4 linked regions of the Yarrowia lipolytica genome follow. The protein of the gene in region 4 purifies or fractionates together with the protein of the main gene of each other region. This does not show direct contact. Links are inferred from orthologs where the notes say so. Each region holds a gene or a part of one and is shown on either strand. Other genes may lie near its edges.

What was found.
Region 1: the proteins of YALI1_C05088g (region 4) and YALI1_D11442g purify together in Saccharomyces cerevisiae (affinity purification with mass spectrometry; 4 studies listed by BioGRID). This does not show direct contact. The link is inferred for Yarrowia lipolytica from reciprocal best matches to the Saccharomyces cerevisiae genes ECM29 and RPN6.
Region 2: the proteins of YALI1_C05088g (region 4) and YALI1_B15092g purify together in Saccharomyces cerevisiae (affinity purification with mass spectrometry; 3 studies listed by BioGRID, with this or other methods). This does not show direct contact. The link is inferred for Yarrowia lipolytica from reciprocal best matches to the Saccharomyces cerevisiae genes ECM29 and PRE1.
Region 3: the proteins of YALI1_C05088g (region 4) and YALI1_F13395g purify together in Saccharomyces cerevisiae (affinity purification with mass spectrometry, with the first as the bait; 3 studies listed by BioGRID). This does not show direct contact. The link is inferred for Yarrowia lipolytica from reciprocal best matches to the Saccharomyces cerevisiae genes ECM29 and RPN2.

Annotation. Positions count from the first base shown.
Region 1 is NC_090773.1:1,140,647-1,147,129, reverse strand, and holds YALI1_D11442g (uncharacterized protein), read right to left. Parts: upstream 2,862-6,483; coding exon 1,539-2,861; downstream 1-1,538. Other genes in the region: YALI1_D11479g (uncharacterized protein), read left to right, coding at 1-1,381; YALI1_D11437g (uncharacterized protein), read left to right, coding at 3,411-4,997; YALI1_D11406g (uncharacterized protein), read right to left, coding at 5,303-6,483. UniProt on the Saccharomyces cerevisiae protein: Component of the lid subcomplex of the 26S proteasome, a multiprotein complex involved in the ATP-dependent degradation of ubiquitinated proteins. In the complex, RPN6 is required for proteasome assembly.
Region 2 is NC_090771.1:1,506,122-1,512,316, forward strand, and holds YALI1_B15092g (uncharacterized protein), read right to left. Parts: upstream 3,082-6,195; coding exon 2,422-3,081; downstream 1-2,421. Other genes in the region: YALI1_B15072g (uncharacterized protein), read right to left, coding at 1-1,124; YALI1_B15109g (uncharacterized protein), read left to right, coding at 4,853-6,195. UniProt on the Saccharomyces cerevisiae protein: Non-catalytic component of the proteasome which degrades poly-ubiquitinated proteins in the cytoplasm and in the nucleus. It is essential for the regulated turnover of proteins and for the removal of misfolded proteins.
Region 3 is NC_090775.1:1,336,173-1,344,267, reverse strand, and holds YALI1_F13395g (uncharacterized protein), read right to left. Parts: upstream 4,675-8,095; coding exon 1,858-4,674; downstream 1-1,857. Other genes in the region: YALI1_F13446g (uncharacterized protein), read left to right, coding at 1-1,201; YALI1_F13384g (uncharacterized protein), read left to right, coding at 5,804-6,277; YALI1_F13373g (ubiquitin-40S ribosomal protein S31 fusion protein), read right to left, coding at 6,462-6,914; YALI1_F13366g (mitochondrial 37S ribosomal protein mS37), read left to right, coding at 7,405-7,584, 7,663-7,752. UniProt on the Saccharomyces cerevisiae protein: Acts as a regulatory subunit of the 26S proteasome which is involved in the ATP-dependent degradation of ubiquitinated proteins.
Region 4 is NC_090772.1:502,611-513,247, forward strand, and holds YALI1_C05088g (uncharacterized protein), read right to left. Parts: upstream 6,975-10,637; coding exon 6,663-6,974; intron 6,283-6,662; coding exon 1,495-6,282; downstream 1-1,494. Other genes in the region: YALI1_C05125g (uncharacterized protein), read right to left, coding at 7,934-9,976. UniProt on the Saccharomyces cerevisiae protein: Stabilizes the proteasome holoenzyme, probably by tethering the 20S proteolytic core particle and the 19S regulatory particle.

The sequences.
Region 1 (6,483 bases), on a different chromosome or scaffold from region 4:
GGAGGTCAGCGACAGCTGGGAGACACAACTGCTGGCGTACACTAACAACATGTGCAGCGATCAATTTGAGCAGGCCTTGAATGATGCTCACCGAGTGTCTTCTAAGACTAAGGCTCTGATCCCACTCGTGTGTCCTGGTCACGTGTCTTCCATGCAGGACGCTCTGGAACTGCTGGCCGAGTCTTCTAACATTGACGTCAAGAGACAGGCCATGAACCCCATCCGAACCTTTGTGGGAGCGGTCATCAACAACACAATTGAGACCATTGCGTCCACCTCCTCTGACGCATTAAGAGTTGCTGCTAGCACGGGCCAGCCCAATGCTGTTTCCGAGTCTTCCATCATTCTACGTGTTCTTGTGCATCTTCTACTTGCTCTTCGCCATGGATATGGAGGCCAGAAAGAACTGGATATCAGCCATTACAACATCATCTCTGCCTACGTTGAACGGCTGGCTGGAGAGGGACACATGGAATTGGTTCCTCTCTATGTTTCTTTCCTAGACTCGGAAGATGTCACTGACCAATACTCTTACTACCTGGCCAACATCTCCGACCCCTCTGAACGAGAGCAGCAGATACACCTGGCTAACCAATACGGAGTTGACATCAAGGCATGTGTCAAGGCTGCTGTTGCGCGTGTCTTTGATGAAAGCATGTCCCAGTACGTCATTCCTGACATCATTGCTGTGAAGTTCGACAACCAGGTCGAAGACACCGATGTGCGCCTCTACCGGGCTGTGGAGTGGTTTGAAGACGTCAAAATGTGGTCTGAGACCATCGATGCCTCTGTCAAGCTTCTCAGACGGTTCTTGCTTTGTGGAAAGGTCGGAGCTGCCCGAGAAGCTGGTATGCGTCTCAATGTGCCCATGCTGATGCAGCAATACCAGGCAGACACTCTGGGAGCCGATGGTAACGAGCTCGACGAGCTTGTCGCTCGGGAACTCGAGCAGCTCTACGATCTCATTCTCTTCCTGGACGCCGTGCACAGCTGGGAAGAGCTCATGAACTCCCCCAGAACCCATGAGAATAACACCCAGATTGCCCATAAGGTAACCGAGATTGCACGGCAGTCCGACAAGCTGATCCACGATTGGCTCATTGAACTCCTGCAACAATACACAGAGAACCAAGAGATCAGGCCACAGGACTACACCCACCTGTCTCATCTCAGACAGATCTACATCCCCTATGTCATTCTTCAGCTACTGTCTGTCTATGTCAGATCGCGGCACATTGACCCTCGATTTGTTACCGACGCCATCGAACTGTCTGTTCTTGTTGCCGACGACCAGCAACAAATCTACCGGGACTTTGTCGACTCCGGACGGCTGGAAGAGTTCCTCCAGTGCATTTTCCAGGCTTCTGCTCTGATGAATTAGTCTGGTGACTGAAATAGATGTTTGCATAATTAATCATAACTACAATATTAGACCTCACTATTAGTATTAAAATACTCCAGTCTGTACTTCCAGTCTTATTCCTACTAGTAATAACACCCTCTCATCTTCATCATTTCATTAAGCTACTTTACATTGCTTAGTTGAGAGAAGAGGCCTTCTCGTACAGCAAATCGACCACGGTGGACATGTGTTTGACGGTCTCCAGAGCCGAATCGTAAGTCTTATCTGTCTGAGGCTCATCATAGATGAATAGCCAGCCGTTGCCCTGGTCCAACACTCCCTTGATGCCCTTATCCAAAATCATCTGAGACAGCTTGCCCTCCACCTGTCGGGTGTCGAGGCCAATGATCTCAGCAATGTGGTTGATTTCGACACAGCTGAAGGGCTCAATCACCTTGAGCAGATTCTGCTCCAGCAGCGAGTCGTACAGGTCGTTGAAGTGCACTCTGATGACGGGGTCGGCCTGGACCTCCTCCTTGTATAGTTCCAGCACGTGCTCAAACTCCTTGAGCGATCGGTTGGCATAGGCCACTGCCACCGCCTTCATAACGTCCACGTCTCGACCCTGGTACGCCTGTGCGGATTTATTGTTGAGAATGGTCTCCACGTCATCGGCCAGGTTCAACATGATCTTGCACAGTAGCATGTACTTGAGTACAGTGCCAGCCTTGGGGTTTTCCTGGCCCACGTAGCCCTCGAATGCCTCGTAGAAATAACTGAATGCTGTCTTATAGTCCTTGTCGTCTGCCTGCAGGATACCAGACATGGTGTCTAGAGCAGCCTGGGTGAGAGGAGGGCAGTAGACGGCGTTGGCGGAGGTTCGTGCAGAGGTGAGAGAGGCTCGGCTCTTGGGGATGTTTCTGAGAGCGTGGTACGCCTTGGCCTCCAGCAATTGCACCTCCACAAGCACCATCTTGTCATCGAGCTTCTTGAGCTCCTTGAGCAGGGTATTGATGAGGTTGAGCGCATCGTAGTACGTCTTCTTCTCCAGGAACAGCGACACCAGCCGGGTCTGCAGGCTTTGTCGCAGAAAGTTTCGTTTCTCCGAAACGGCCCATTCGATACATTTTTGTGTGGTGGCAATCTGCAGGTCGATACAGTCAGACGGCACTTTGGCGAAAAGATCAATGAGGTTTCTGATGATTTTGGCGGTTTTGGACTTGGCAAAGCCGCTCATTACCGTCAGACTAGTATGGATGAGGTCTGCGAGGTCCTGGGGCTTGTTGTTGGAGGCGTAGAGAGTGCCGAGATTGATGAGAGCCGACTCTTGGATCTGGATCGATTTCTCGTTGGTTCCAGCCTTCTGATCGAGAATCTCCCGGTACAATTTCTCGGCCTCCACGAGGTTGCCCTTGTCTCCGGCGGTCTTGGCGCTTGCCAGCGTTTCTTCTAGAGTCATTGTGTCGTTTGAGAGTGTGAGATGTGTCTGGACCAGATGTCGTATGTGGTGGCGGTACATTGACAGCTAAGGTTTGGGAGGTTGTCGCTTAATAAGCAAGACCCTTTGAATGTGGTGAGTGGCGGGGGAACAAGATTATATATAGGGGTCCTGGGGTCCGGTTTTTATGGGGTCTGGTTTACTACTTCTCCTGATGAGAACAAAACTTGTTTTTGTCTTCGCCGGCATTCTAGATACAGCATATGGCTTGGGTCTTGTTTTGACCATAACAGAAGAGGTTATGGATACACACACAGCGATGGTTCAGACACTCCAGGAGGGGTGATTGAGCGGATCGGAAGAGTGATTGAGTCTGCCAATCGCCCTCCTATCTCGCAAGGATTAATTCCGTATCTTTTTCGGTCACGATATGTGCCACAATCAACCTCGTTGCTACTCGTTGCTACTTCCCACTCACCCACCTACAGCACGACCTGGCAGTCAAGACCCTACTTCCCAACTCAAACTGTGTCCCAACCCTGTGAGTGCCTGTGACAAGCACATTGTTCACAACAACATTTATTTGCAAACAAACACAGGCAGAAAAAAAACACGAAACCGCACCACAGCATGTTTGGACAAGCCGCCAAGCGTCAGTTTAATGGGTTCGACTCGCAGTCGTCGTCCACCGGCGGATTCGGCACCTCGTCGACGTCTGGAGGCTTCGGAGCGTCCACTGGAGGCCCCTTTGGCACCTCTTCTACGACCCAGACCCAGGCCCAGCCCTCGTTTGGCCAACAGTCGACCTTTGGCACGTCCACCATTAACGGTAACACGTCGTTTGGTTCCCTGGGCAATGCGTCGCTCAACCAGTCCCAGTCCTCCTTCTTCAACAGCGACGTTCTGTCCACTCCAACTTCCGCCAACAACAACGGAGGGGCCCCCTCGTACAGCCTGTCGCACTCGCAATCGGCCTACGATCTACGAGGAGCATCCAACGGCAACAGCTATGGTGCCGGTAACCAGCAAATGAGAGAACACAGTGCCCCGCTGACTCCAGGCTTCCGATCGTCTCGAGGTGCTCCTTCCTGGACCTCCAACGACCGACGATTCGTGCCCTCCCATCTCTCGGCCATCAAGCAGAAGTCATCCTTTTACGCCGGCGATCGTACCCCCGAACGATCTGCCAGCTTCACTAGAAGAGCGTCTACTTCCCCTACAATGAAGTCGTCGCTTGCCAAGGCAGGAGAATCCCCTCCTTCGGGCGTCGGAGGCTCGTCCTTCGGCACCCCCAAGCCCTCCGGAACCAAGAAACAGACTCATACCATCACCGAGGAGGAGCTACCACCCACACAGTCCATCTACGACTCGCGAGGATCGCCCTTTAGTGCTGCTCGACGAGGTAACTCGGCTGGATCGGGGATGCGTCGTTCGGAGACTTTCAGCAGTAACCCAACAGCCGCTCGAAAGACTCTGCGAGCCACTGCCTCCTTTAACCATGCTAACACCCCCCGGAAACTGGCGATGGGCAGCGATGGCAACCTGTCCGTCGTTGTCTACGGGTTCCCCCAGCATCTCACGCCGTCCATCGTGTCGCACTTTAACAACTTTGGCGAGATCATGGAGAACGTAGAGCCCAGCGACGCCTCGTTCGGTCTGTCTACCACCCCAGTCAAGCGGCCTCCTCCCGGAAACAGACCTCCTGTTTTTGCTGGCCGAAATTGGATCAAAATCACCTATGACAACAAGGCGTCTGTGATCCGAGCGCTGGCCGAAGACGGCACCCAGTTTGCCGGCCAGTACGTAATTGGCTGCAAGCCGTACACGCCATCGCAGATGCGCGACTTTGACGCCATTTCGGCCTCTATGTTGGACTCGCACGACGCCAGCATGATGGACTCAGACTACCAAGACTCGCCCATCAAGTCCAAGTTCCCCCAGACTCAGCAGCAGAACACTAGCCTCTACCCCAACCCTTCAGCATCTGCATCTGTTTCTTCTTCGGAGCGAAGTCTGCCTCGGACCACATCGCTGCCTGCTCTCAACGGCGCCAAGCGGCTGGAGATTCGAGACGGAACCAACACCGTGTTCAAGCAGCCCTCCTCCAAGACCATCACCAACCCCAAAGTCAAGAAAACGGGTCTCGCTGAGAAGACGGGCTGGTTGTCCTGGACCGCCAAGCGGGCCGAAGAGCTCATTTTCGGATACGAGGTTTAAGAGGTTGTGCGAGGACTAGTACATGCGACTGCGAGAGCTCTATACTTGTAGTACTTTAGGATAGAGAGAGATACCGAGTAGGAATGATTATATTTAGGTATATAATTAGGTAGCATCTATAATTAATAGAACATGTAAGATATCATTTCAGCGTATGGCGAGATCCTGGCCGCCCACGAGTCTTTGACTGTGCAGTACGAACACTTCAACTGCACGTCAGCGCTCACTATAGGGCGGCGATATTCATTATGAAGGAATGCATTAATTAAATATATACTGGTAGTTGGGCCGTATTTATACGTCCACTACTGCTTTCTCCTCCAAGGACGGCCAACAGGAGATCCAGACAATGTGGTATGGTTGGGCACACTGGGTCCGGTGTTGCCGAAGCTGGACGGGGTGTATCCTGAAGAGCCTCGTCGGTCATCCATCAGTCTGTGGGAGAAATGGCGAAGTCCGTCACCCGCTTGGGCACCTGCTCCGGGGAGCTGTCCGGAAGTAGGCACGAACGTCCGTCGACGAGTCGGGGTGTCCAGTTTGACAGGGGTAGGAGGCTTGCTGGGTGCCATGCCGGCCTCTCTGTAAACAGACTTGTTATCCAGCGCAGCGTCGTAGAACTCACAAGATCCGTCAGCTCCAACAGCAGCGTCTTGCTTGATCACTCCAAGTAGAGGATGCACGACTTTCTTGTCAAACTCGCCGAGCACCTCGCCCGAGATGATGTTCTTGTCCTTGACGTAGACCAGGAACATGTGGCTCATGGCATACAGAGCGAAAGAAAAGGCGGGCAGAGTAATGAAGACCTGGACGAAGCTTAGCGGACCGAACCACAGAGCAATGACATGTATAGGCGAGAAGAGCGCAAATATGTTGAGATGGAACAGAGACGGCTCCCACACGTTGAGCACCCACACTCGAGTGGGTCTATCAGTCGTGGTAGGGTCGACTACTGGAGGAGCAGGAGCCGGGCTCATAAATCCGGAGAGTCGTTTTTTTATCATGGTTTTGAATTGGGCTTCCCCAGACTGGTTCAGGTCGTCGCAAGGTGTTTCCAGAGGCTCTAGAGCGGCCGAGGGGGTTCCGGGGACGTTGGAGACATCTCTCCCAAACAGCGTGTACTTTTTTGTCTGGAGGAAGCAGACTAGCATATTGATGACAGAGATTGCAAACAGAGCCAGAGCCGTCATCATCAGAATCGAGTAGATTGCATTGCTGGATCGTCTCTTGGCTGCTGCTTGTGCACTCAGAGAGTAGTATCCCGAACCGCCCCGAGCCTTGTTGTTTCCAATGCTGTGGAACAATGCCGCGTCTCTCTTCTTTTTGGTTTCGAATCTGACAAAATAGAGCCGGATGAGAATCATGGTAATGTCTGCCGCCAGACCCAGGTAGATGTGGTAGGTCTGAGGTAGGTTGTCGAGTTCCAGCACCGCTAGCGATTCATTGATGCTGAGGAAGAGATCAAAGGGAAAGCTTTTGACCTTGGTGA
Region 2 (6,195 bases), on a different chromosome or scaffold from region 4:
TTCTTCTCTCTTCGCTCCTTTGCACTCACTGCACTGTTGATGGCAGCTCTATTGAGAGATCCATCTGGCGCCTTAACCACACGCACAGGTGACAATTCCAAGCTTTGGAAGGTTTGTCCAGCAAGAAAGGGCGGTTCGATTTCTTTGACTTCAATCTCAACATCCTCCTCCACTCCAACCGTAGCTTCTTGTTGTAGCGACTCAATATCCTCGTCCAGATCAGGGTAGTCTGCTGCATTAACCACACCCGATGCAATCAGCTGACGAATCTCCCATCTCTCAGGAGAAGTGAGACGAGTTCGTTTCTTGACTGGTTGTTCATCCTGTTTCTGGTATCTTCGTCCCCTTTCTTCACTTCCTCCATCTCTACCTCTTGAACGCTCGACACGCTCCATTACCTGCCCTGTCTGTTGATCAACGTCATTGAGAGACAGGCCGATTTTCCTTCCATCAATCTTGCACACCTTGACGTATACAACGTCTCCCACACTGACCACGTCTGAGGGATGATCCACCCGATTCGCTGCCAACACAGAGACGTGTACCAGACCGTCGGTTTTGTTTTTCAACCCAGACAGAGTCACGAATGCACCGAAAGAAGTCAGGTTCTTGACACGTCCCTTGTATACCTTGTTGATAATGGGTTCCAAGTCAAGCTCTCCTTGATCTGGACTCAGACTTCGTCGTTTCGAACGGTCTCGACGATCTGATCTATCTCTGTACTCCCTGTCTCGCTCTTCATTCCTTGGTTTGGTGACCTCCTCAGGTCCCATATCGCTCTTGATAGGGGCTGTATCCTTCATGGTCAGAACAGACAGCTTCTCAGAAGGTTCCTCCTTCTTCACTGTGGGCTCCTCCTTGACGGGGGCAGGCATGGAGTTGCCTCTGTATTTCGGATGCAGATCACTGATAAGCTGGCGCATACGATCCACAAACGAGTCTGGGAAATCGCCACCAACAGCTTTTAGTTTAGTTGCAAAATCATCTCTGTCTCCCTTGGATTCCTCGTACATACCCAGAACAAATTCAGCTAGCGTCTTGTCATTAATGCCGGTGTAATTATTGATTTCCTGGGTTAGAGTTGAAACCAGGGCGATGATTTCGAGCTGCTCTAGCTCATCCATGGTCGTCGTTGTATGCTGATTGTAGATTTCGATTATGAAGAAGAGTGTTGAACTGCATGCATGTTTCTAGAACCTTAAATAAGCTTCCACTCCAAACCGAGTTATATTGCTAAAGTATAGAATCAAGTAAATGACGTGAAATTGTGAGACTTGTACTTCGGGTGAAGGGAACTCATCTCCATACGAGTCGTCACTGAGAGCTGTAATTAATACATCACACATTACCTGAGGCTCATCAACGATACTCAATTCCATTGTCGCATATCTGTCTCATGAAAAACCCCATGGAATCCTCTAGAACACATGCTGTTGCTCTCTACCTACAATACAGTAAACACCAAGTTCGTCATCCCCACATCTTCTCGCTGATACACAGCCAACCCCTCTTTTCATGATACTTGTTGGATGCGACGCGGTGCACAGCTGTAGGCGACTGATCAGACACACACCCATCTTCTTTGTCTACTAATGATATATTTATAACAGCCCTGGTTATTACTACCGTTTCAGTCTTTTGGGACGCAGTCACAGTAACCACCCTTTGAGCCTCACCAGAAGGAAGCACATAATAATAGCAAGAGACTGTAAGACGTACGATACGATACTCGAAAGCACCATTTCAATAACTGAGCTGAAATTTACAACCACAGAGCCACAAGCAAACCTCATATACGCCCTGGACCAGTCTATCGCAATCCCCGTCAGTACCGAGATCGCATTCTCTCTCTCTGAGGAGAACGTGACACACAAATCAACAGCAACTAGCATAACCAAAGAACTTGGATGCGCAATTGAACAACTGGAAACAAACAACTATACAGTAGTTGTTACTGCACCATCATTGTTCACTGCATCATCAGCATTACTAACCACCAGCAACCACACACCATACTTCTCTCGTCATGATCGTTGTTGACCCATATTATTGCCAGCACCATAACAGATTTTTTACCCGCGAGGAACTCGAAGAACACCAGAAGGCATGCAATGGACCATACTTCATGTCCAAGGAATTCCGGCGGCCTCCGGAGGTTGGAACGCCTTAACTAACAGATACATAGCTGCCCAGACTGTCGCCGACACATACTGCAGTACAGTACCTGTACTTGTAACATAGTGCACGTCATCAGTTTCTACTGCTGTTACCGTCTTAACATAAAAATATAATAGTTATAATCTACCAATTGCGATCTTGTAGGAAGCTCAATGCTCAGCACAAACCGCCAGTTTCTCAATGACCTCGTCCATTCATTTAGATGCGCTCATTGATCCCGCTATGCTCAATCAACAATACTGATTAAGCAGCGATCTCTCCCTGCTGGACCTCCAGCTCCTCAGTCACCTCAGCTTCTGGGTACTCGTCGGGGTAGACCAGAGCAGAGACGTCTCGAATGCCATCCTTGTCCACGACCTTGACGTAGACGCCCTTGAAATCCACGGGCAGACGGGTCTGCAGCTCCTTGATGCACATTCTCATGAGGACCACTCCCTCCTCCTGGGTCATACCCTCCTTCCAGTGTCGGTCCAGTAGCGACATTGTGTAATAAGCGGCGTAGCCGTGAGCGGCATAAGGCAACTCCACGTTGGAGGCTAGGTAATCGATGAGATTGAGGGTGGGCTTTTCAGTCTTGGGATCAAATCCGGCAATCAGGACGTTGACCTGATAGGGCTTTCGTGATCGCAGGGCCTTAGCCAGCTGGTTTCGAGTGAAGGAGGCGACGGCAGAAGGAGACAGCTCAATGTCGTGTCGGATGCCGTACAGTCGAGTGTTGGCCATGATGTACTCGGCAAACTGGACTGTGTCTCCTGCCTCTCCGGTGTAGGCCATCAGAGTGTTGGGGTTGAGTTCTCTGGTCTTGTCGTCACCGACCTTGATGACGGAAATACCTCGGGTGGCAGCCTTGGAAGTGGCAACCAGCACTCCGCCCTTGATTCGCAGTCCCAGAACGATATCCATCTTGTGATTGTGTAGTGTGGTGTTGGATGGGTCTCAGAGAGTCAGTAGTGATGCAGATACACAAGGTGGCAAGGTTAGGTGGCGTCACGTGCAGGTGGCGGTTATGAAGTGCTATTGGTACCAGTACTTAGTCCAATGGGATGGAATGACCGGGTCTGATCAATGATTAATGATAAGGGCAAAAGATTGATTGACGATAGTTGTTTGAGATGGAGACACTTGCTTGGAGTCGTGTGTCTTTGTTGTCGTTGGGTGTGCTGATTAGTAAGCTGATTTGAGTGGTACCAGGCTGATTGTAGGGGTTATGCTGAAGCGATTGCAATAACACATTTGAGGTGAAACTAGTCCACCTATTAGTTCATATCAATGATTTCTTGTCTGTCTATAATGACATCCAATGACAAGTTTAGCTAGCTGCTGTAATTAATTGAGGTGTTCTACTTTTCGGAGAACAAAATGTCTCCATTGTTCCCAATTACATTCATAACAAATTGGATAACTAAAGAATGGAGTTAGTTGAACATTATTTGGGGTTGAACAGTTGGTCAAATAGTGGAAAAGGAAATAAAAGGGCAGGTTTTCAATGCTTACAGGTATTTTGGTTTCATTTTCTGTCTTAATCATGTACGGTATGGCTATGTTCAAAGCCACAGGGCACTTTTGTTGCAAATCTCGATTCAAACAATATTTCGCGCAACTGACGTCAAAGGGGATATATAAACGAGAAACAAAAACGAGAAGCTACACGGGGAGTAAAGGGACGCGAAGATGGGGATTGAAAATTTCAGTGATCACTCGTCATATCTCTGTCGATGCCATCACTCACGTTATGCCGATGATACCGTATGTACAGTGGGTACTGTAGCTGGCGTCATGCGTCATGGATAGCTACCTCATTATTCCCTCCGTCATGTCCGAACAGTCGCTGTAAGAGACATTTGTGTGGCAGAGATCGATGTGATACCTTCAACACGAGCTCGAGGAGCTTGTAGGTTGTATAACGAGCTCCAGTGTCGAAGTTGCAATGTGAACAGGGCAAGGAGTTACATAGACCACTGTACAGAACCACACGATGCTATTAAAGAAAGTAGCATCTTTGGCAAGCTCACTCATAGAATTATACAACTATCTGTAACCATCTATTGTTTTTATTCATGCTTACACTATCAGAGGGAGAATAGTGCAACACTTGACACTGACAAACCATACAGACTCATGCAGAGTGAACATCTGCAAGGCTCTCTGAGAATATAGGATTGGATGAACCTCACAGATATAGACACAGTAGGGAAGAGAACAGTCAAGCATCTTACCGTACAAATAGGACTGGCAATTAACCAAACCTGCATCCCTCTCATTTAGTCTCAGTGGAACATTCACAGTATTGTTTTCATGCGATCACTCTCAGCCAGCATCCACTCGTCGCAGTCCCCTATGCCTAATAGAAGGAAATATCCTTGGAAAAGTCCATCTTTTACAGACAACGGTAGCTTTATAATAAATATAACCGTTTTAGTAAGTAGTATATGTATATATCAGCAATATCTTTTTGATCCTCAATGTACAGTATGATGGATATCTCCCCATGTCTTATTTGTCATTTATAATACCCCCCAACTCTAATCACGTCTTTCGCAACGCGTGGAGTTAAATTGATTCCCAACTTGGAGAGACGCGTTTAGCATCGTACTGCACCTTCATTTTTTTTGTCCTCTACAGTTGACATCTCAAATCGGCACACCTACCCCACGCAACATATACTACAGCTCAAATGACAGTATCCGAGCCCTCTTCGCCCGTATCGACCGCGGAGCCCCCAACTGACATCACTGTGCCACCTTCATCTTCTCCACGACTTCCACAGCAGGGGCTGTATGATGCTATCATGAACGATGTCATGGAACAAATTGAGGAGCCTCTTCCTGAGATTCCAGAGACGCGACAACCCGAGACTTCGGTTAGCGCCCCCGAGGTTGATTTTGAGGGCCTCGGACTCTTTTACTCGCGTTTCTTTCCCTTCAAGACGCTTCATCGATGGCTCAACCACTCTCCCCGAAATGGACGAGACTTTGCTTATCGAGAGTTTGCCTTCACTCTGAGAAACGGTGCGTATCTGCGATTCAACTCATTCGCGGAGGAGCGTGAATTCAAGTCTCGAGTCGACGATCTTGTTCCTGAGCGATTCGAGATCGGAGCGGTCTACTCACATTCGCCCAAGGACCGAAAGAAGTTGCGAAAGGACGTGTTTAAGCCTGTCTCTAAGGAGCTCGTCTTCGATATTGATATGGACGATTACGACAAATTCCGAACGTGTTGTTCTGGAGCATCCGTCTGCAACAAGTGCTGGAGATACGTGCAGGTAGCCGTTAAGATGGTCAACTCTGCTCTCAAGGAGGATTTCGGATACAAACACATTATGTGGGTATTTTCGGGCCGACGAGGAGCCCATGCGTGGGTCAGCGACAAGAAGGCTCGTGATCTTAACGACAGACAGCGTTCTACAGTTGTTTCCTACATTGCTGCATTTGGAGACGCTACAGACAAGAGTGCTGCCGGCAACTCGAGTCTTCGACGTCCCCTGCATCCCCATCTTCAGCGGTGTCTTGATATCGCCACCACCGTATTCAACGAGGTTGTCCTGCAGACCCAGGACCCTTGGGCCAATGAGGAGGGCTCCAAATTCCTGCTGGCGTTCATTCCGGACGAAAAGCTGAGAAGAGCCCTGGCTGAGAAATGGAAGAAGAACGGAGACTCTGCTAGCTCGGCAGACAAGTGGAGCGATATCGACAAGGTGGCTTCCTCGGGAGTATCTGCGAACCTGGATACCAAGAGGCTCGTCGAGGCCAAACAAAACGTGATTCTAACTGTTTTCATGCCAAAGCTCGATGGAGCCGTGTCTCGAGGAACAGGCCATCTTCTGAAATCGCCCTTTTGCATCCACCCAAAGACCTCCAACGTCTGTGTGCCCATGGACGTCGACAGCCACACTCATGAGTTGTTGTTCACCCCAGAGGATTGTCCTAAACTGCAGGAGATTATTGACGACTTCAACAATTACGAGGGAGATGCTCAAGGTACTGTTTCCAAGCACGCTTCTGATAAGACTCGACTCAA
Region 3 (8,095 bases), on a different chromosome or scaffold from region 4:
TGAACTCAACCTCAACGAGACTGTTCGTGCGGTCCAGTGGCTCCATAACGACCAATACTTTGCTGTGGCCCAGAAAAGGAATGTCTTCATCTATGACCACCAGGGATCCGAAGTACACAGACTCAAGCAGCAGATCGAAATGACCAACCTCGATTTCCTGCCCTACCACTACCTGCTCGTATCGTCGGGTCTCACCAGCATGCTCTTTTACCAGGATGTATCTATTGGTAAGCAAGTGGCTGCCTTCAAGACCAGACTGGGCCCCACCACCTCCCAGTGCCAGAACCCCTATAATGCCATCATGAATCTCGGCCACTCCAACGGAACCGTGACCATGTGGTCGCCCAACGTGGACGAGCCTCTGGTCAAGATGCTGGCCCATCGAGGCCCCGTGAACGACGTTTCTGTCGACCGATCAGGACGATACCTGGCCACGGCTGGCTCCGACTCGTCCGTCAAGGTCTGGGATATCAGAAACACCTACAAGGAGGTGCTGCGTCTGCCCCGAACCAAGGTGGCGCCCCAGACGGTTAACTGGTCTGACTCCAACCTGCTTTCTGTGGGCCACGGAAACACCATCACCGTGTGGAAGGACGTGCAATCTGCTCCTCGACCCAAGCAGCCCTATATGCAACACAACATGCATCCCGACTGGAAGGTGAGCAGCGCGCAGTTTGTGCCGTTTGAAGACATCCTTGGAGTAGGCCACTCCGAGGGCTTCTCTTCACTCATCATTCCCGGAGCCGGAGAGGCCAACTTTGACGCTCTGGAAGTCAACCCTTACCAGACGCGACACCAGCGACGAGAGGAGGAGGTGCGAACACTGCTGCAGAAGCTCCAGCCCGAGATGATCACCATGGATCCCGAAGACATTGGACGAATCGCCATGGACAAGGACCGGCGACGAAAGACGGCCCGAGAGCAGATGGAGGAGATCACGGAGCCCAACAAGAAGCGGGCACAAGAGTCGGACGACGACATGCCCGAGCTGCAACCCCATCTGGCCGACGAGGAGACGGCCGTCAGCAAGGAGCTGCAAAAGAAGAAAAAGAAGGGTGTGGTGGACGAGCGGCAGATGCGACTGGAGCAGCTTCAGGAGCGAGAGCGACGAATGCGAGAGAACAAAAAGCGACGACTGGAGGAGGGATATGTGGAGGAGTACGTGTCTCCTGCTATCTCCAGATTTCAGCAGAGACAATAGATAATTTATGCATATTGAACGAGCAAAAGTACAAGGCAAGTAATAGCAGACCGGCTGCTGACAGATGGAGTGGCCAAGTGAATCTGTACGCGTAGATGTAGTAAAAGAGCTACTGCTTATCGGTCCATCTCTTGTACCCAGGCATGGGAACACGAGTAAATACTGTACTGCGTCTCTTCAGATATTCTTTACTAGTGAAAGACCAACAGCGACTGGCTCGTTTCGAAAGTAGTCTCTTGATTACATGCTGTCTGTACTTTTACCGGTATGTGCGAACAGATTCATATGAATCGAACATGAGATAACGAGCCACCGAGCCACTCCTTTTCAGGCAGCTGATACTTAGGGTCTTGCTGCTGACTCGTTTATGAGTTGGCCCAGTGTAGTCATGTTTACGTTGGATCTAGCTGAAGAGAAGTGCCGTCGATATCATGGACCAGTGGCAACACATTACAATAGAAGGGACTTCGTTCAATCCCGCTTTTCTCGTCGTCTAGTTTTCAACTCCATGTTCTATTGCACCTTCCATTGCAAGCTGTTCTTTATATATTGGTTACAACTGCACAACAACAGTGTACACGCCCAGTCATTTGTGCGCTCCATCTACAGGCACTCTACGCCCTTGCTCGGTTCTCCAACAATCATTACCAATATGCTTACTCGGTCTCCTCGACGTACTTGAAAGGCTCGGGCAGAGGAGCCTCGTCGTCCTCATCATCAAAAGGATTGTTGATCTGTCGGACCGTCTTGATGAACTGAGGCTTCTTGCCGCCCTTGCCCTTCTCCTGGTCTCTCAGAACCACAACTCCACCAACAGAATGCAACTTTCGAATGGGCACAAACCGGTTCTCCTCAGGAAACGAAATATACTTGAGCTGGGAAGGCAGCACTCGTGTTAAGTTGGCAAGACGCCACTTCTTCTGACCGGGGATTCGCTTATCAGCGTCCTCGTCCACCTTGGCCTCCTTGGCAGGCTTTGAAGATGCTGCAGCGGCGGAGGAGGGCTCCTCGGGCTTCTCCTCAACTTCCATCTTGTCAGCCTTATCCTTCTCGTTCTTCTTGGCCCGAGCCTTGGCACGAGCTGTGGTAGAGAGAACGGCGGTGGCAACCTTTTCGGGAGCCTTGTCAACCACCTCCTCGGCAGGAGGAGGGTAGCCAAAGTAGGAGGGCTTGTGAGAGGTGACAAAGTCAAACTGGGGGATCTTGAGGTCCTCGTTGACTCCGGTGACAGCAGTGGTGCTGAATGACAGAGACAGGAAGTGGGTGTAGGGGAACCAGTACCAGAACTGCGAGAAGACAACCAGACCGACAATGGCCTTCATGTTAAGAGACCCAGTCTGGGGGTTCTCAAGAGCAATGGTCACATTTCGACCTCCGGCATCAATGATACCCTGAGCTAGAGCAGCACCAAACTTGACCATGGGGTCCTCGTGCTTGGAGGCAATGGCATGAGCAAAGGTCTCCCGGGCAGTCTTGACTCGAGGACTCATCTTCTCATTCTGCTGGATGAGGATCATGGCGAGAGCCACAAGAGCACCCTGTCGCACAAAGTCTGCGGGGTCCTTAGTCAGAGGCTCAAGCACCTCCACCGCCTCCTTGAGACCTGTGCCTGCACACGAAATACCGAGGGCCAGGGCAGTTCCGTACCGCACGTGGGGGTTGTGCGACTCGGACAGCAGCTCGACCATTCGGGGGACGGCAGTGTAGTTACGCAGAAGGATGAAACCCAGCGAAATGACAGCTGCTCGTCGCACGTCATCAGAGGCATCAGAAACAGCAATGTGCAGCAGTCGCTGAATGGCCTTGTTGTTGCCGGTGCCGGCGTAGGCAAGAGCAATGGTGTAGGCTCCTCCGTACCGCAGAATGGGGTCCTGCTCGGCCAGCAGCTGCTCGATCATGGGCTCGGCAGACTCCTCTCGTGCGTAATTGACAAGAGCAAGGCCCAGAGCCAGACCCCGAATGATCTTCTCGTGCTGAGTCTCGTGTGCGTAAAGGAACATTTCCTTCTGGGCATCATCGTCGGCAGATCCCAGCATTACCAGACCCATGGCGAGTCCGGCAGCCTCTCCGGCCACGGCAGAGTCCGAAAACAGCACGTCTCTCAGTTTGTCGTAAAGAGAGGCCTTTCCGGAGCCCATGCCAGCCACACCGATACCCAGACAGGCACCGTGCAGCACAACATCGCCTCCGTCGTCGGATGCTGTGTCTTCAATCTGCTGCTGAAGGTAGTCGAGCACCTCGTTGCCATGGCCTGCAAAGATGAGACCAAGGGCGTACAGAGAGCCTCCCCGGGTGTAGGGTGAGCCGGAGGCAGCATTATCGCCCTGGGGCAGGTAGGGAGCGAGAATTCGTCGGCCCTGCGACAGGTTTCCCTTGTGAATGACTCCCAGAGCAGCCGTGGCCGACAACTTGGTCCAGTTGGAGGCCTTGGAGAGCCAGTCGAGGTTGGAGCGGATAAACGAGTCCTGGGCTGTGCCGGCGTGCAGAAATGCGTTGGCAAAGGTGACGGCCGAGTGGTTCATGGAGCTCTTGGGGTCAAGCGAGTTTTTGGTCCGGTTGAGCATCTGTGTGTCGGTGTTATTGTTCTGGTTAAGGAATGTGAGGTCGTAGTCGCAGGTAGGGACGCCGGAGAGGATCTTTGCGAGGGTCTCGTTGTCCTTGAACTCGGCGGCAACCTCGTTGAGCAGCTGCTGCGAGCCTGACGCCACTAGATCAAAAGCGCACTGGTACGCAATGAGGGTGGAGTCGGGGTCCTTGGAGGCCAACAGAGACTTGAAGAGCCGAGAGGCGCCTTCGCTGCTGTTGAGCTGGACGATGATCTTGCAGATGGCGTGGTAGTCGGGCTGGGGCAGACCCAGGATGACATTGTTGAGCTCCAACAGCACCTCGTCCTTGAACCGGCGCGAAGAGACGACCGTTACGACGCAGTCCAACACGTAATGCACCAGCTCCACGGTCGTTTCGGTGTCTGCGGTCTCGAGGATCTTGGTGATAATGTCCAAACGTCGGGCCTCCAGCGCCACTCCGAGAGCCAGCTTCAGGTGGCCCTGGGCGTACGATCGCTGCAGCATTTGGTCGAGCACCGTGGCGAGACGGGCGTCGGGAACAGGCGCAGACGGATCCTCGTAGTGTTGTTGCGACACCTCAATATATTCTCGGATGCACTTGCTGACAATGGTCTCGACGTAATCAGAGGAGGAATCGAAGTTGAAGAGTTTTCCAGCGGCCAAAGCAAACTTCATGGATGACTCGTAGTCGCCCAGGTTGTAGTAGATCTTGGAGGCCACGAGAGCCGCGAGCTCGGGCTTGGGGAAGTCCTTGTCTTCGTAGAGCTCTTCAATCTGGGACACGTGGTCGGAAACCTCCGCCCACAGCTGGGTGATGTTTTCATCCAGCGATTCGAGGGCATGGGTCTTGAGATCGTAGTTTGGTTCGTCGAGCAGCGCCAGAATTGGGGCTGCGGTGGTGGCCATTTTTGCGATTGGGGCGTAGATGGCGTCTGGACTTGTGGTGATGTAGTGTTGGGTGGATTACCTACACTGTAACTTTGCCACCTCACGTGACCGCTGGGGGGAGGCGAATGTGCCAGTAAGGAAAACGCAACGAAAGCTGTGGGGCTGAGATAAGTGGATATATCTATTGATTGCGGTGTTTTCATTGTTTTTTTCAATTCGGGGTCTCATTTTATTGGCCCGTTTACGAGATGGAGGGGTTCTATGATTCGTTGCCGTTGTTTAGGGCAGTGGAGTAGAGTGTTACCGCAACGATAGAAGACGGTGGATGTATTGAGGAGATGACAACTGAGGACAGGCAGAAAAAGCTGTCGGCCGATTTGATACGTCTAATTGATGCGATTTTGATAGTGGATCATTGTTTACCGAGTCTGGATGGCGTTCTACATGGACCTTGTGCTACAACTCCCCGTTGTTAATAACCTCTTTGGATTGGGTTAGGCGCGTGGTGAGATAATAAGCGATTATAAAAATAAAAAGAATTACAGTATTGAAAAAAGAAGGGGAAAGAAAAAGGGAAAAAAAGGGAAAGAAAAAAAAAGGTGGGTGAATGGAAGAGTGGAAAAATCGCAGGAAATCAGAGAAAATCACAGATAAACGGCTTAAACCAGAGTGCTCCTGCTTATTCATCAACTTTTCCCCTCAAATTGATCCATTTGTCGCCACCCGTCTTCTCGAACATTCTCTGCAGTGCCAAACAGCCATCATACCAGCATTTACCGCAAGTATATACTCCACCTAACAGCAATTACGATACTCCAGGTGGATACCACGACAATAGCCGATTGGCCTACATTAACGGATGCTAGGGCACGTGATGGCGAATAGTACAAAAGAGCCCCATGGAAAGACGAGTGCTATCACTCGCCCCTGTTCCAAGGCCTCACATCCGTTAGCACAAGCTGTCTTAAGTCCACCTAACCGGTTAGTAATACCGCAGATAAGAGATCGGCTTTAGGTAAGTTTCCGCCACCGCCACACGACCATGGCATATCGACCAGGGAGTATAATACGCGGTGAGGTCCCCGTCCACAGCCATTAACACCCACACAGAAACACCCCACACAAAACTGCAAGAGACTCGCGGACCATGACCGAAGAAACCCACAAAGTCAAGTTGTATGTGTACGATCTTTCGCACGGCATGGCCAAGTCCATGTCTCAGCAGTTTCTCGGCACCCAGGTGGACGGCATCTGGCACACTTCAATCGTCATCGACAACAAGACCGAGTGGTACTACGGAGCCGGAATCCAGTCCGCTCAACCCGGAAAGACCCACCATGGCATTCCAGACAAGGTGGTGGATCTGGGAGAGACCCATGTGCCTGAGGAGCTGATTCAGGAGTACCTCAACGAGATTCGGGGCGAATACACCCCCGACAAGTACAACTTGTTTGACCACAACTGCAACCACTTCACACAGGAGCTGTCGCAGTTTCTGACCGGCAAAGACATCCCGGTCGACATTTCGTCGCTCAGCCAAAACGTGCTCGCCACTCCCTTTGGCCAGATGTTGAGACCCATGTTGGAACAGGGCATGAGCGGAATCACCCAGCGTCAATGATGGGTTTTATTTATTGCAACGAAGATGTAGACCGAATGAAGTACGGGTACACAACTACAGACTGAGCGGTATCTCGCTCGTGAAACAGACGCTGCGGTGTTCAGCTCTACTTAGAAAATTTTTAAACAATCTACAGCGTTGATTTTTGTTCAAGAGATAAATATACTAAACTAAATCAATACATTTAGGCCTTGAGGGTGAGGTGGCATCGGCCGCAGTACTGTCGGTCCTTCATGTCAGCCATGAAGACACCGGCACCGCAGGACTCAGACTCACACTCTCGTCGAAGTCGCTCAACCTTTCCGTCATCGTCAACCTTGTAGAGGTTGAGGACAGCAAGCTTGTTCTTCTTTCGCTTGTGCTTGATCTTCTTGGGGGTGGTGTAGACCTTCTTCTTTCGCTTCTTACCACCACCTCGAAGTCGCAGGACGAGATGGAGAGTGGACTCCTTCTGGATGTTGTAGTCAGAAAGGGTTCGGCCGTCCTCGAGCTGCTTACCGGCGAAGATAAGTCGCTGCTGGTCCGGGGGAATTCCCTCCTTGTCCTGGATCTTGGACTTGACGTTGTCGATGGTGTCGGAAGACTCCACCTCGAGGGTGATAGTCTTACCGGTAAGGGTCTTGACAAAAATCTGCATTTCGGTGTCGTCTGCAAAGAAAACTGTGCTGTTGTTAGTGGTTGCTCCTTGAGGTCCTGCTCTTCAGCTTTTGCATCGCTCCACTGCGTTCGCTGCGTTCGCCACCGTGTGGTGTGTCGTTATTACTCACCGTCTTTCTAGCCGAAGTGTCTGAAGAAGAAGAAAAGGAAGAGCTGCCGTGTAAATTTATTTCCATGCAAGTTGAGTGGGACTTCTCAAATAGGAAGTTACCCGGACCGCTATAATAAAACCTTATTTGATTTATGGTCACGTGGCGAAATGAGGTGGGGGGGGGGGAAACCGAAGAAAAAAAAACGTCGGTAATCTAGCTATAGCCGTAACTGACAATGCTCCATAGACCCCGTTTATCCGCCGTATCGTATATTTCCAGATTCCTTCCATTTTTTGCTGACTAATAACCCTAACCACCAGCATCTCCAACATGCAGTAAAATTTCACTGCAACATCACCATACACAAAGTCTCGAAAAATGACCGCCCAGAAGTTGCCCAAGCTCAAGTATCTGCGTGTCAAGAACCTGCAGACCGCCGAGGCCCCCCAGGCCGTGCAGCTTCTGTCTCGACTTTTGGCGTGCTGGTCATCCAACGGTGTCAACTCCGAGGCCTGCAAGGAGATTGAACAGGAGTTCAAGATGGCTGCCTGCAAGAGTGTGAGTATGAGAGGAGAAGGGTTGGAGATGATTGAGGCGACAGGGTCGGTTTAATTTCGTTTTGCAATTCTAACTCAGGTTAAACCCGTCAAGCAGCAGGACAGTATCAACTTCCACGCCAAGCGACTTTACCCCAAGATGGTTCCCCAGGGAAAGAACCGACGATAAGCGATGTCATCCATCGCCAGCATGTACATATTTATGAATTCTCTGTGATTTACGATACTGGGAGCGAGACGGAATTGGTAATGGTTGAAGATCGGAGGTGGGATGTGTAGGGAGAGGTGATGGAGGTGTAGGGTTTCCAATGGTCTGTTTGATATGTTGACGCCTCTGGGTATTGTAGTTCTGCAATTACTTGAGTTAACCAGAGTAACCAGAAGTTGTAGAAGAACTCTCTCGATTAGTACAATGTATCATAAAGGTCCATCTCATATCTCCAGACTGTAGACACTTTGCGACCACCCATTATGGCGATACTGTTGAGACGGTGCATGTAATTCGATTCGCT
Region 4 (10,637 bases):
AAGTGTACAAGTGTACAAGTTGTCAAAGTCGCGTAGCAAGATTTATTTATGGATGTGTGTGACGCGTATGCACGTTATCTCACAACAAGCCTTATCAACGCATTTAACTTTAAGATAGCTGGGGAAGACCAAAACAATCACACCGCAATGATTGAGGTATGAGGGATAAAAATATAGACCGGATAGAGAAAATGGGGAGGGAGAAACCCTCTATATATAACATTGTCCGCACAAATGCCTCCAGCCACGCCAACACCCCTCTGTGGCCCGCCCTTGGACCGCCGTTTGCCACATGACTGCGGGAAATAAGCACCAATCATGGTTCCCATTTAACAACATTTGCACGGCCAAAGAGTGCCTAAAAGGGACACGCAAAGATGACATCAAATGACCCTTACTTTATTAGCTCCCGGGAAATGTCCATACCAGAAAGCAATCAGAGATTGAACTAAATACCGCCACAACGGGACGAAAAGGCAGCCACGGCGCTCCGGTCACGTGTTCTGGATCACGTGGGGAGACATAATTGCTCATAAAGTCACGCCACACACACACAACCCCTCCGTATTCAGGGGGCTGGTCACATGTCTCCCTGTCCACGTCCACATGCCCTGCCCCACGTTACTCACTCATCCCCCTCGGTTGACGTCATCTTTGCTCTGCACGATTATGCACCTCGTGCGCCACGTGATAAGGTGGGGTAGATGCGTTGATAAAAGCTAGGGCACGCATTTTTGCGGTATAAAATGGATTAAATAGGGGGAGAAATGGTAGATGTAGATGAATTTGCCACGCTGAAATGATAATGACAGAAAACACTCTGATGATCAAATTCAGTGTCACTAACGAAAATTACGTCATTCGCACTTGACCTATATTTCTACTACAGTACATGCAGTAAGCTCGGAATAGCCATTAGTAGGAACTAATAGACAGGGCTAGTCCTTTATCTCACACTAGCTACAATAGTCATAGACCGGGTCAAGAGTGGATACCAAGGAACTGTTGGGAAACATGTTGAGAATGCAGTAGGACAGAACAGCGGGGTTATACCCTTTACCCTTTACACAGCGGACATACTCATGTAACATTTAACATACCTCGGCATGACCGCGGAGTGGCAAACTAAGTGTGGTTGAGCATTGAAGACATGGAGGAGAACCTGGAATTTCTCTATCGGTTACATAATGCACCAGAAATCTATATGTCAGTTCTAGCGGCGAGGGAGGCTGTCTAGAGCAGACCATTCTGCTTCCCTCATCTCAACCATCATCCCAACTAAATCCCCACCATAATTGTAACCTTAACTAATTAGAATTAATTAAATGTCAACTAAATACTAACTAAACGAATAGGTGGAATACATACAATATACAGTATTATGTAATTACAAAATAATGAAAAATACATCTAATCAATTTATTCTATCTAATCATAATACATCTGATGCAATCAATTTAATTTGACATCACCAACAGGGTCGGATTTCCTCGTTCAGATGCTCTTCAGAACTCTCCCGAGCTCAGCCTTGACAATCAACGACTGCTCATGCTCCTCCGCCAATACCAGCACCTCTCTCACCTTCTCCTTACTTGCATCACTCATCTTCGAGTTCAAAACAGCCTGCCCAAGTTTACACACCTCCACCTTGGTTTTGTCCAAATTAGTAGTCAGCAAACAAGTATCAGCAACCAGGGTCCAAATCTCCAGGAACTGCTTCTCAAACCCAGCAGGCTTCTCCTGGCCGAAGAAACCAATAACAACGGAATACAGAGCCTGCGAAATACACAACTTTGTCTTCCATGTAGGATCTACAGACTTCTTAGTGGCCAGCTTGTTCAGATTCTTGGGAGGAGTCAAAGCAAGCTGGATCCACTCGGAAACCTGAGAAAAGTAGGATGACAGGAAAGAAACGTCCTCGTCGGTGCTCTCAATCGACAGAGCTCTGATAGCAGTGCCCAGAATGGCGTTTCTTCTGTCCTCACTCTGGGATTTAAGGAGCTCCTCCTCATCATCAGAATCCATATCCACGTCTTCTAAGTCCGACTTGGAGAGGAGGTAAAGAGAACAAATGTCAGAGAAAATATCAAACAGCTGCTTCGATGGGAAGTGGCCGAGATACCTAGACGCAGACTTGAGCGCAAGAATCTGGTACTCTCGGTTCTTTCGCTTGATTTCAGTGGTCACCACCTTATCAACAACGGCATCGTGGAGGTTGAACTTGATGGCCAGAGAGACAAGAGCGTCAAACACAGCCTCTTTCCCAGTCCAGCTCTTACCCTGGCAAGCAGAGATCATCACCTCGAAGAGCTCATCATTCAGAACGTTTTTACCCACAGAATTGCAAGCATCTGCAATGGAAGTAGCAGCAATCTGTTTGATGTTCCACTGCTGAGAAGACAAATGGGGCGAAACCAGAGCGATAATCTCCTTAATGTGCAGAGAAATGGCCCCTTTGCCTCCAGTGTTGTTATTCCAAATGTTGGTAAACACATCCTGGACAGCAGGATCTGAATCGTGTTTGCCTACAAATATGAGGGGCAACAAGGAGGCTGACAACGAGTCAAACTTGTCAGCGGCATGAGCAGCGATCTCCTTCACTCCAATAGCAGCTGAGATTCGAGCTCGTTCAAGAGTACCTTTTTGGATTTCTCCAAAGTACAGGTTCTGCAACTCAGTAATGTAGCTCAGAACGGATTCGTCGTCCGCCAAACGACACAGGTAGCCACAGGCAGCAAGGTACGATCTGGACACAGTCTCGTTTCGATCGTAAATGCTGGGAATGGCTGACTTGACGAGAAGTGGACCAGCGTAGGGTTTGAACAGCTGGGTCTTTCTAATAGTCAAGGTAACAATGATTCGCGAACCAGCAACCTTGGAGGGCAACCCAACCGATTTTCTTATTGACAGAGTCAGCTTAGGAACAATCTTCTTCATCAGATCGGCGTCACAGAGGTCGATAATCTCCTCAATGGAGTCCATCATGGGGGAGTGACGCACAGCAGCCAGGCGCGACGAGTCAATGTCGTTGGCAGTCGTTCCATATTTGTCGGCGTTTAGAGCAATGTAGTTCATTGCCTGCGGTTCGAGGGTGGATAACAACTCTACAAACTCGGAGAGAAGATCTGGAATAAAAGGCTTCAGTCTAGAACCGCCCTTCTTGATCAGCTGAAGCAACACATCCAGAGAGAAATGCTGGACCTCTTCAGCTGACGATTGCAGACCGGAGTTTCCGAGCAGGAAAGGAATAATCTGGTCCAGCACCTGCTTTGCAGTAGCGTCTGAAATGGAGTCACTTTCCAGAGACCGAACAAGAGCAGTAGTCAGGCCACGTGTGAGACCAAGACCGGCAGTTCTAACACTCTCTTTGATATCGTCAACGACTCGGAAACAAGCTGTCCATATTTCGGACAAATGATCGAGATACTGAGAGATGGGTCTACCCTGAAGTAGGTCCAAAAGAGCAGCCGAAGAAGCCTGTCGAACTCGCCACTCCTTGGAAGAAATGGAAGAGAGCAGCTCCTTGAGGATGCTCTCGAAATGGGAATTCACCGTCTTAGTGGAAGACTCGCCAATCAACATCTTCCAAATGTTGGCCATGACTTGTCCAGTACTAGGATCAAACTTGTACCGGTACAATTTGGGAATGAGAGTGTTTCCAAGAGCAGGGTTGTCGGCCAGCTGCTGTTCGAGCGAAGCCTTGGCAAAGATGTTACCCAGACCAAACGCAATGCCCTTTCTGGAGGACCAGAGAGACGCGTGATTAGCCAGAGACATGAATCGGTACACGAGAGAGGGATCTCCGACTTCAGAAGCAAGCGAAAGAATATCCTTGTAAGTGGAAATCGATCCGTCGTTGGTATTGAGAACTCCAGGCTCGAAAAGTTCGGTTTCTTGATGCACCTTTTGGTTGTGAGACGACTTATCGGTGACGAATGAGGAGACAAGATTCTCAACCAGATCCTTCTGCAATCGAGAGTCTCCCTGCTCGAAAACAAGAGACAATCCTCGGGAAGCAGCCTCCTGGACAATGTCGTCTTTTTCAGGCAAAAATCGCATGAAAGCAAGCTGCAACTGAGGAAGAAGGGCATGGATCATATGACCACAGTACTGGACCACAGAAAGAAGCCATATGGCGGTACTCTTCCGCAGAGAAGGCTTGGTCACCGTCTTTGCCATGTTGATCAGTCTGGTAGTCAGCTGGCTCACTCGCTCCTCTGCCAGGGAACTCACAGGCAGCTTATCTGCAATCTTCCACATCTTTCGCTTGACGAACTTAGTCTCCCACCCAGCAGCAAGCACACAAAGTGCCTCACCGGTGAAGAAGGCAAAATCCATCTGCTTTGACTCAATGGCAAAGATCTTATCAACATTGGACTCAAAATCAGGACTGTCCAAGTTGAGATAAGCAAATGCAAGCACAGAATGCTCGGTGGGCTTGACCAGAGTCTTCTTTTTGACATCATCGAGACGGCTCCAGTTGTCGAGAGAGATTCTGTGCAGTTTCATCTCACTCAAGAAAGTCTGAACGGACTCCATATCGATATGAGTGGAACAAATCTCCAGCGCGGAGGAGATGTCTGACTCAGACAGGAAAGAAACCAGGTTGGAAAAAACGAGAATGGGTCCATCAACGTTCTTTGGCACGTGGTTGAAACACTGAGCAATTAGATTATGAGCCACCTCTTCGCTCTGCTCCAGGCCAATCACACGAGCAGCGTGGGACTGAATCTTGTAGTAGGGAGAGGTCAGAGCAAGCTGAACCACGCTGTTGTTGGCATCAAAGACATTGTATGACTTGGTAGACAGAGAAACCAGGGAATAGTAGAGCTCCAGTGACACTTCAGGAAGAGTGGAGAAGGTCTGATGAGTGGAAATGATATCTAGAATAGGAGAAATGTCGGTCTTGCTCAGATACTCAATAACGAGCTTTCTCACGTGATCATCACTCTTCAGAGCTTCATCCACACGTGTTTCCCACTGTTCATCAACCACACAAACAGTGTCATGACCCTGGATAGCTGTAGCCACAGTTAACCGAACCAGGTAGGGAAACATCCACTCTGCGGCCTTTTTGAGATCAAATTTCGACTCGTGGATCAGTTTACATAACTCAAACACATCGGGAAACTGGAAAATGTCCGAATCCGAAGTTCCCTTGATCACGTCGAGCGAATCATGGCTGGTGATGTATGGAACATTAACAGCTCGCATCCAGTAAGGGTTCAGTCCCCGATTACACTCCTCAAGCATGTCTGTCCGGCCAAAAGTAAGGCCAACAAGACAAAGGAAGCGCGCATGAGCGCTTGAATAGGGGAAGACTCGAGTTGCGTACTTAGCAGCCATAAATTGAGTCGCCTGGTGGCTGATGTACCGAGACAGGTGGGGAATCAGTTTCTCAGCTGTCTCGGGGTACTTTGCCAGCGGATTGATGAGCTCTGACAAAGAGTCACCTGCTTTCCGGTCAAATAGGAACGTCACGTGAGAAATGTTACTCAGCAGACGAGAGTCTCGACGCAGGATACCGCCCATGAGCTCCTGTGCTGACTCGGCGGTCTTGGCATCGTTTCCAAGGTGAGTAACACGCTCGAGAAGGTCTCCAGAGTGGCGCAAAAACAGCTCTTCATTGGAATGCTTCACAATCCAATTAACAAACTGGATGATTGCAGCTCGAGAGTAGAAATCAGTCTGGGTGAAGTACTGGATGGCTCTGAAGGCGTCATCGACGTTGGCAGCATGCACCGAATGACACAGAGCCGCGAGAATCTTTGCCTGAGTCGTTTGCTTCACAGGGGAAGATCCATTGTACCCGAGGAGAAGCTGATAGAGCTGGTTAGTAAGCATCTCGGACTCCAAATCTACCTGGAGTTTCTTCCAGGCGTCGTTAGCTGGCTCTCCAATGGCTGAACTGCCGTCTGTAGACGCACACAACAGAGGAATGTACGACTCTGTGTCTGTAAACAACGCACTAATGAATTTGAGCAGGTGACTCTTGACGGCAGTGGTGCATTCTTCGGCTGACAGAAACTCGTATTCTCTGATGGTCATTCCGGTTCTCTTGGTGGCAGAGAAATTGAACACGTCTGTGAAGCGAAGAGCGAGGTACGCAATGTCGTTGTCGTTGACGTCAAGGGTTTCACGAAACTTGTCTGCTTCAGTGGATCCTCGGGGAGGGTAGGTCATGAAGGGGAGGAGTTTAAGTAGGATGCGGAAGACCGCTTTGGAGTGGTTGTAGGAGAGGGTGGAAATTGAGGAGATAAGGGGAATGATGAGGGTAGATTTCTGGGTTAGTAACGGTAATGAGTGGCCGTAGAGGATGAAAGACAAGAGCAGGTTGTATCTGGAAGTGTTGCTAAAGATCATAGCTGCAGATAGTGACATGGTCTGAAAGCCATGTTGCTTGGATAGTATTAGGAAACCCTAGCTTTAACGCATTCATTCCGTTAGATTTCATGGATCTTCAAGATCACATTTAAACTAGACATCTGTTGTTTCACCATCGTATCATATATCAGATCAGACATTGATGTCAGTGTGGCACACAATTGAGTTGTGGAACCACCACCTGTCTGTATCATTATGGGGTCCGCAAACTGTCTGTAGCCCATAAATAGCAGCGGGTTGTTAACCCTTTGAAGGAGTTATCGCCCCACAATACTCACATCATCACCCATTCTGGCAATACCCATTTCAATGTACATGAGATCGAAATTTCTGATAAGTTCACTGTCACTCTCGACAAACTGTTTGACCAAGGCGTCGACAGGCAACTTGAATGTCGTGTTCTTGATTCGCGTGTTGATATGCTGGCACATTTCAACCACCTTTTGTCGCACTGACACGTTTTTGGACGCCAGCTTGGTCAACAGAGGCACCAGATAGACGCCGATCGTCTCGCCCAGTTTGTCCTCTTTGGCCATTGTGATCCGCAGATCCACCGCGTTGACCAGCTGCAATTCTTGTGTTTCGTCCATGCTGAGGTGGTTGTAGTGGAGAGAGATTATCGGCGATAGCAGATCTAGGTTGGACTGCATGGTGGCGGTGGCGAGGTGCAAGGGGGTGCAAATGGGTCACGTGAGGTGTCGTGTGGGCACGTGCTGTTACTGAAGGGGTGCAAAAAAAAAAAACATTCATTTCGGGTGTCTGTGGCCTCTTATATCGTCGCGGTGTTAGCTGCTACGTACTGGTTGTAACCTCAGCTATTATGTTATGGTATTGCCGTTGAGATCATACATGAGGGGAAGAAAAAGGGGGGGGAGTGTAGAGGGATTTGTAGAGAGAATAGAGGGATCAAAATTATATAGTCTTGATCAGCTCCTCTGGAGGAGTTGATTGATGTCATAATATCCCCATGTTGCCTTTCTATTTTGTTCTCTTCTCTCTAAAAGTATGATGTGATTATGTTCGCCTATAAGTATGACGACGTTGTGCCATTAGTTTGGATGTAACATATGAATTGGCGTTGTATGTAGTGAAGAATTTGATGGAAGAATGACAGGCTGAAGTTATCGGAGTACAGTACGTACAGTAGCATTGGATTCAATCGCTATCATTCTTGTTCGAGTATAATGGCTTGTTCTTCTCTTGCTATTGTGGAACTGAGTGTGGCCTGTAGAAGATCTATTACTTAGGTTGTTAACAACACTTAAATTTAGTTGGGATTTTTGTTGACTCGAAGGAAAATCACGATACTCGTCGAAATTCCATACGATCCCCCTTGGATTTACTCCTTATCTCCTTGCAGAGAGTGAGAGAGGGCACTAAAGTGTAATGGATGTTGTAAACACTAAGATATATACAGAATGGACACACCTATTTGTGCCGGTCCCAGTTGTATGCCACGAGCACCCTCTATACCCTCCTCCATGCATTTACTAATCATGGGATATGTTACAACGTATTCAATTACATCACCTCATGTCAACCCCTCTCCTTACTTCACCTCCTCAATCTTAGCTGACAACTGCTCAGCTTCAGGAGCAGTCTTAATTCGGGCCATGTACTTGATTGGCTTCGAGTCCGCGTCGAAATCGACAATGTTCACGTTCGACTTTGTCGTCGAGTACGTCAACTCCTTTCGAACCACACAGTTGAGAAGCACTCGTCCACTCTGTTCTGCTCGCATCAAAATTCGGGCCTTCTTTGTGTCCTTGTCCACCAGCACTCTCAGCTGACCCACTCCACACACGTCCCACTTTCCGTCATCCAGCTTGTACAGCTTGGTTCGGTACTCGGCGACATTGTCTTCGTTCTCCTCACCTGGTCCTTGTCCTGACAGGTCATCCGAGTCTGTGACGGTCTTGGGGGTGTCATCTGGTTCACCGGACTCGGTGGAAGAAGCAGCAGCAGGCTTAGTCTCCCCCTTGGTATCACCCTTGAACAGGTTACCGGAAGAAACACCGAATGCAGGCTTGTCAGAGGAAGACTCAGTCTTAGCACCAAATGCAGGGGTGCCGAAAGAGAAAGAAGGCTTGTCCGAAGAGGCTGACTCAGCGGGCTTGGCTCCGAATGAGAAGGCAGGCTTGTCAGATGACTCGGCGGACTTAGATCCAAACGAGAAAGCAGGCTTGGGCTTGTCTTCAGCATCATCAGCCTTAGCGCCAAAAGTAAAAGGCTTTGCCGAAGAAGTACTTCCAAACGAAAATGCGGGTTTGTCGGCAGACTCTTCGGTCTTGTTGCTGCCGAAAACAACTCCCTGAGAGGGATTCCAGGTGAAGTCCTTCTTGTTTTCGGACTTGTCTTCCTTCTTCTCCTCCGGCTTATCCTCCTTCTTCTCCTCAGTCTTGGTCTCGGACTTGAAATTGAAAGGACCGCTGGAAACCTTCTTATCAAAGGTGAACGAAGGACCTGTGCTCTTCACCTCGCTCTGAGGCTTGCTGAAAGAGAAAGCAGAGTTTGTGGTAGTGGGAGGTGCAGCTAAAGTAAAACTGGGGCCCTTGGTGATGTCAATGGCATCGTCGTCAGAGTCGGAATCGGAGTCCACAGAAACGGGCTCAGGCTTCTTCTCTTCCTTCTTTTCTTCGGGCTTCTTAGCTGTGAACGAAAAAGAAGGAGCAGTCTTCTCTTTGGCAACATCAGCTCCAGACTTGTTAAAACTGAAAGAAGGTCCAGAAGGAGTAGAAGATCCAAATGTAAAGGGCTTGGCAGCAGTGGTGGTGTCCTTGGCGTCTGTCTCCTTAGTAGTGTCAGCCTTAGGGAAACCAAAAGAGGGAGTAGTTACAGCAGGCTTATCCTCCTTGGTATCACTAGATGTACCGAAAGAGAATGGTTTCGACACTGCGGGCTTTGCGGCTGCCCCAGCTCCAAAGTTGAAGGAGGGTGATGATGTAAAAGTGCTGGTGGAGGTAGTGTCCTTTTTCTCAGTGTCTGTGTTGGCAGCGGAAAAGTTCTTAGTAGCTCCAAACGAGAAAAGCGACGATTTGGGCTTGTCGGCAGAAGCAGGAGTCGGTGTGGCTGTAGTAACAGGCGCAGAAATTGTGCTGGTGGTGCTGGTAGTGCTGTTAGCAACGTTTGCATGGTCACCTCCAAGTGTCTTAGAGTACTCGAGATACTTGCTCACGACATCAGACAAATCAACTGCGGCATTCTCCCGTACCTTGGCGAAAATAGTGTCCACGAACTTCTCGTTCATTGCAATACGCTTCAATGTAGTATCTGATGTTGAATCATTGTTGGTAGTGTTGGTATTGGTAAACCCCCCGGTAGTGCTAGGAGAAGAGAACGACATCTGGGGCGCAGGAGAAGCTCCAGAACCGAAGCTGGACAGTCCAGAAAAGCCATTGGAAGCCTTAGGAGTAGATCCACTGCTTCCGTTGCCTCGTCTCTTGGGCAAGGGCAAGACCTTTCTCTTGGACATTGTAGCGGCGTCAGCTGTTCGAGCCTCCTCCACGGGCTCGTCTCGACTGTATCCTTCGCCGCCCTCAAAGTCGTCCTTGGTGATTTGATTGAGAGCTCCTCGTTTGTTTTGGAAGGACATTGTGGTGGTGATTCGAAAACAAATGACTCTCGATAAGACTTTCCATGTATGTTTGGTATAATATTTATTTCTGTCTGTTTCGAGCCTCCCCTAACCTCGTCTCAGCAGCCTCAACTTGGGTGCTTATGTGTTCGATTCCTAGCGAGGTCACCTTCATTGAATATATAAAGTTCATATATAAAGTTCATATAAACTTTAAAATATGATAACGCTGCGTTTTCTATATTCGGATATAATCAATTGTATCTTAAGACAGCTCATAGACATTATTTTATTAGTCACTTATTTTTATAGATCCCTCTATTTTCCTGCCGATATTTTTATTGACAGATTATGACCCTCTTGGATTTCGAATTAAAGTTTCCACTTCCTAACCTCCCAGCACGTGACAGACTCAATTCTGACTTGAGTCGGGACTGTCTTTTCCCAATCGGGAAATCACGTGTGCAACCTCCCAACTGGCTCTCCATTTTGATACCGAAAATTTTGTCCCTGTAGAATCTTTCTCTCTTGACACCACAGAGGAAAATATAAGCAAAAAGTGAGTATTCGACAGCGACACAAAAAGACGACAAGGCGAACGACCAGGATGGAATTGCGTGAACTTGACCACGAAACGACATACGGCATTCACAGATAGATGGGCTCACACGACGACTTT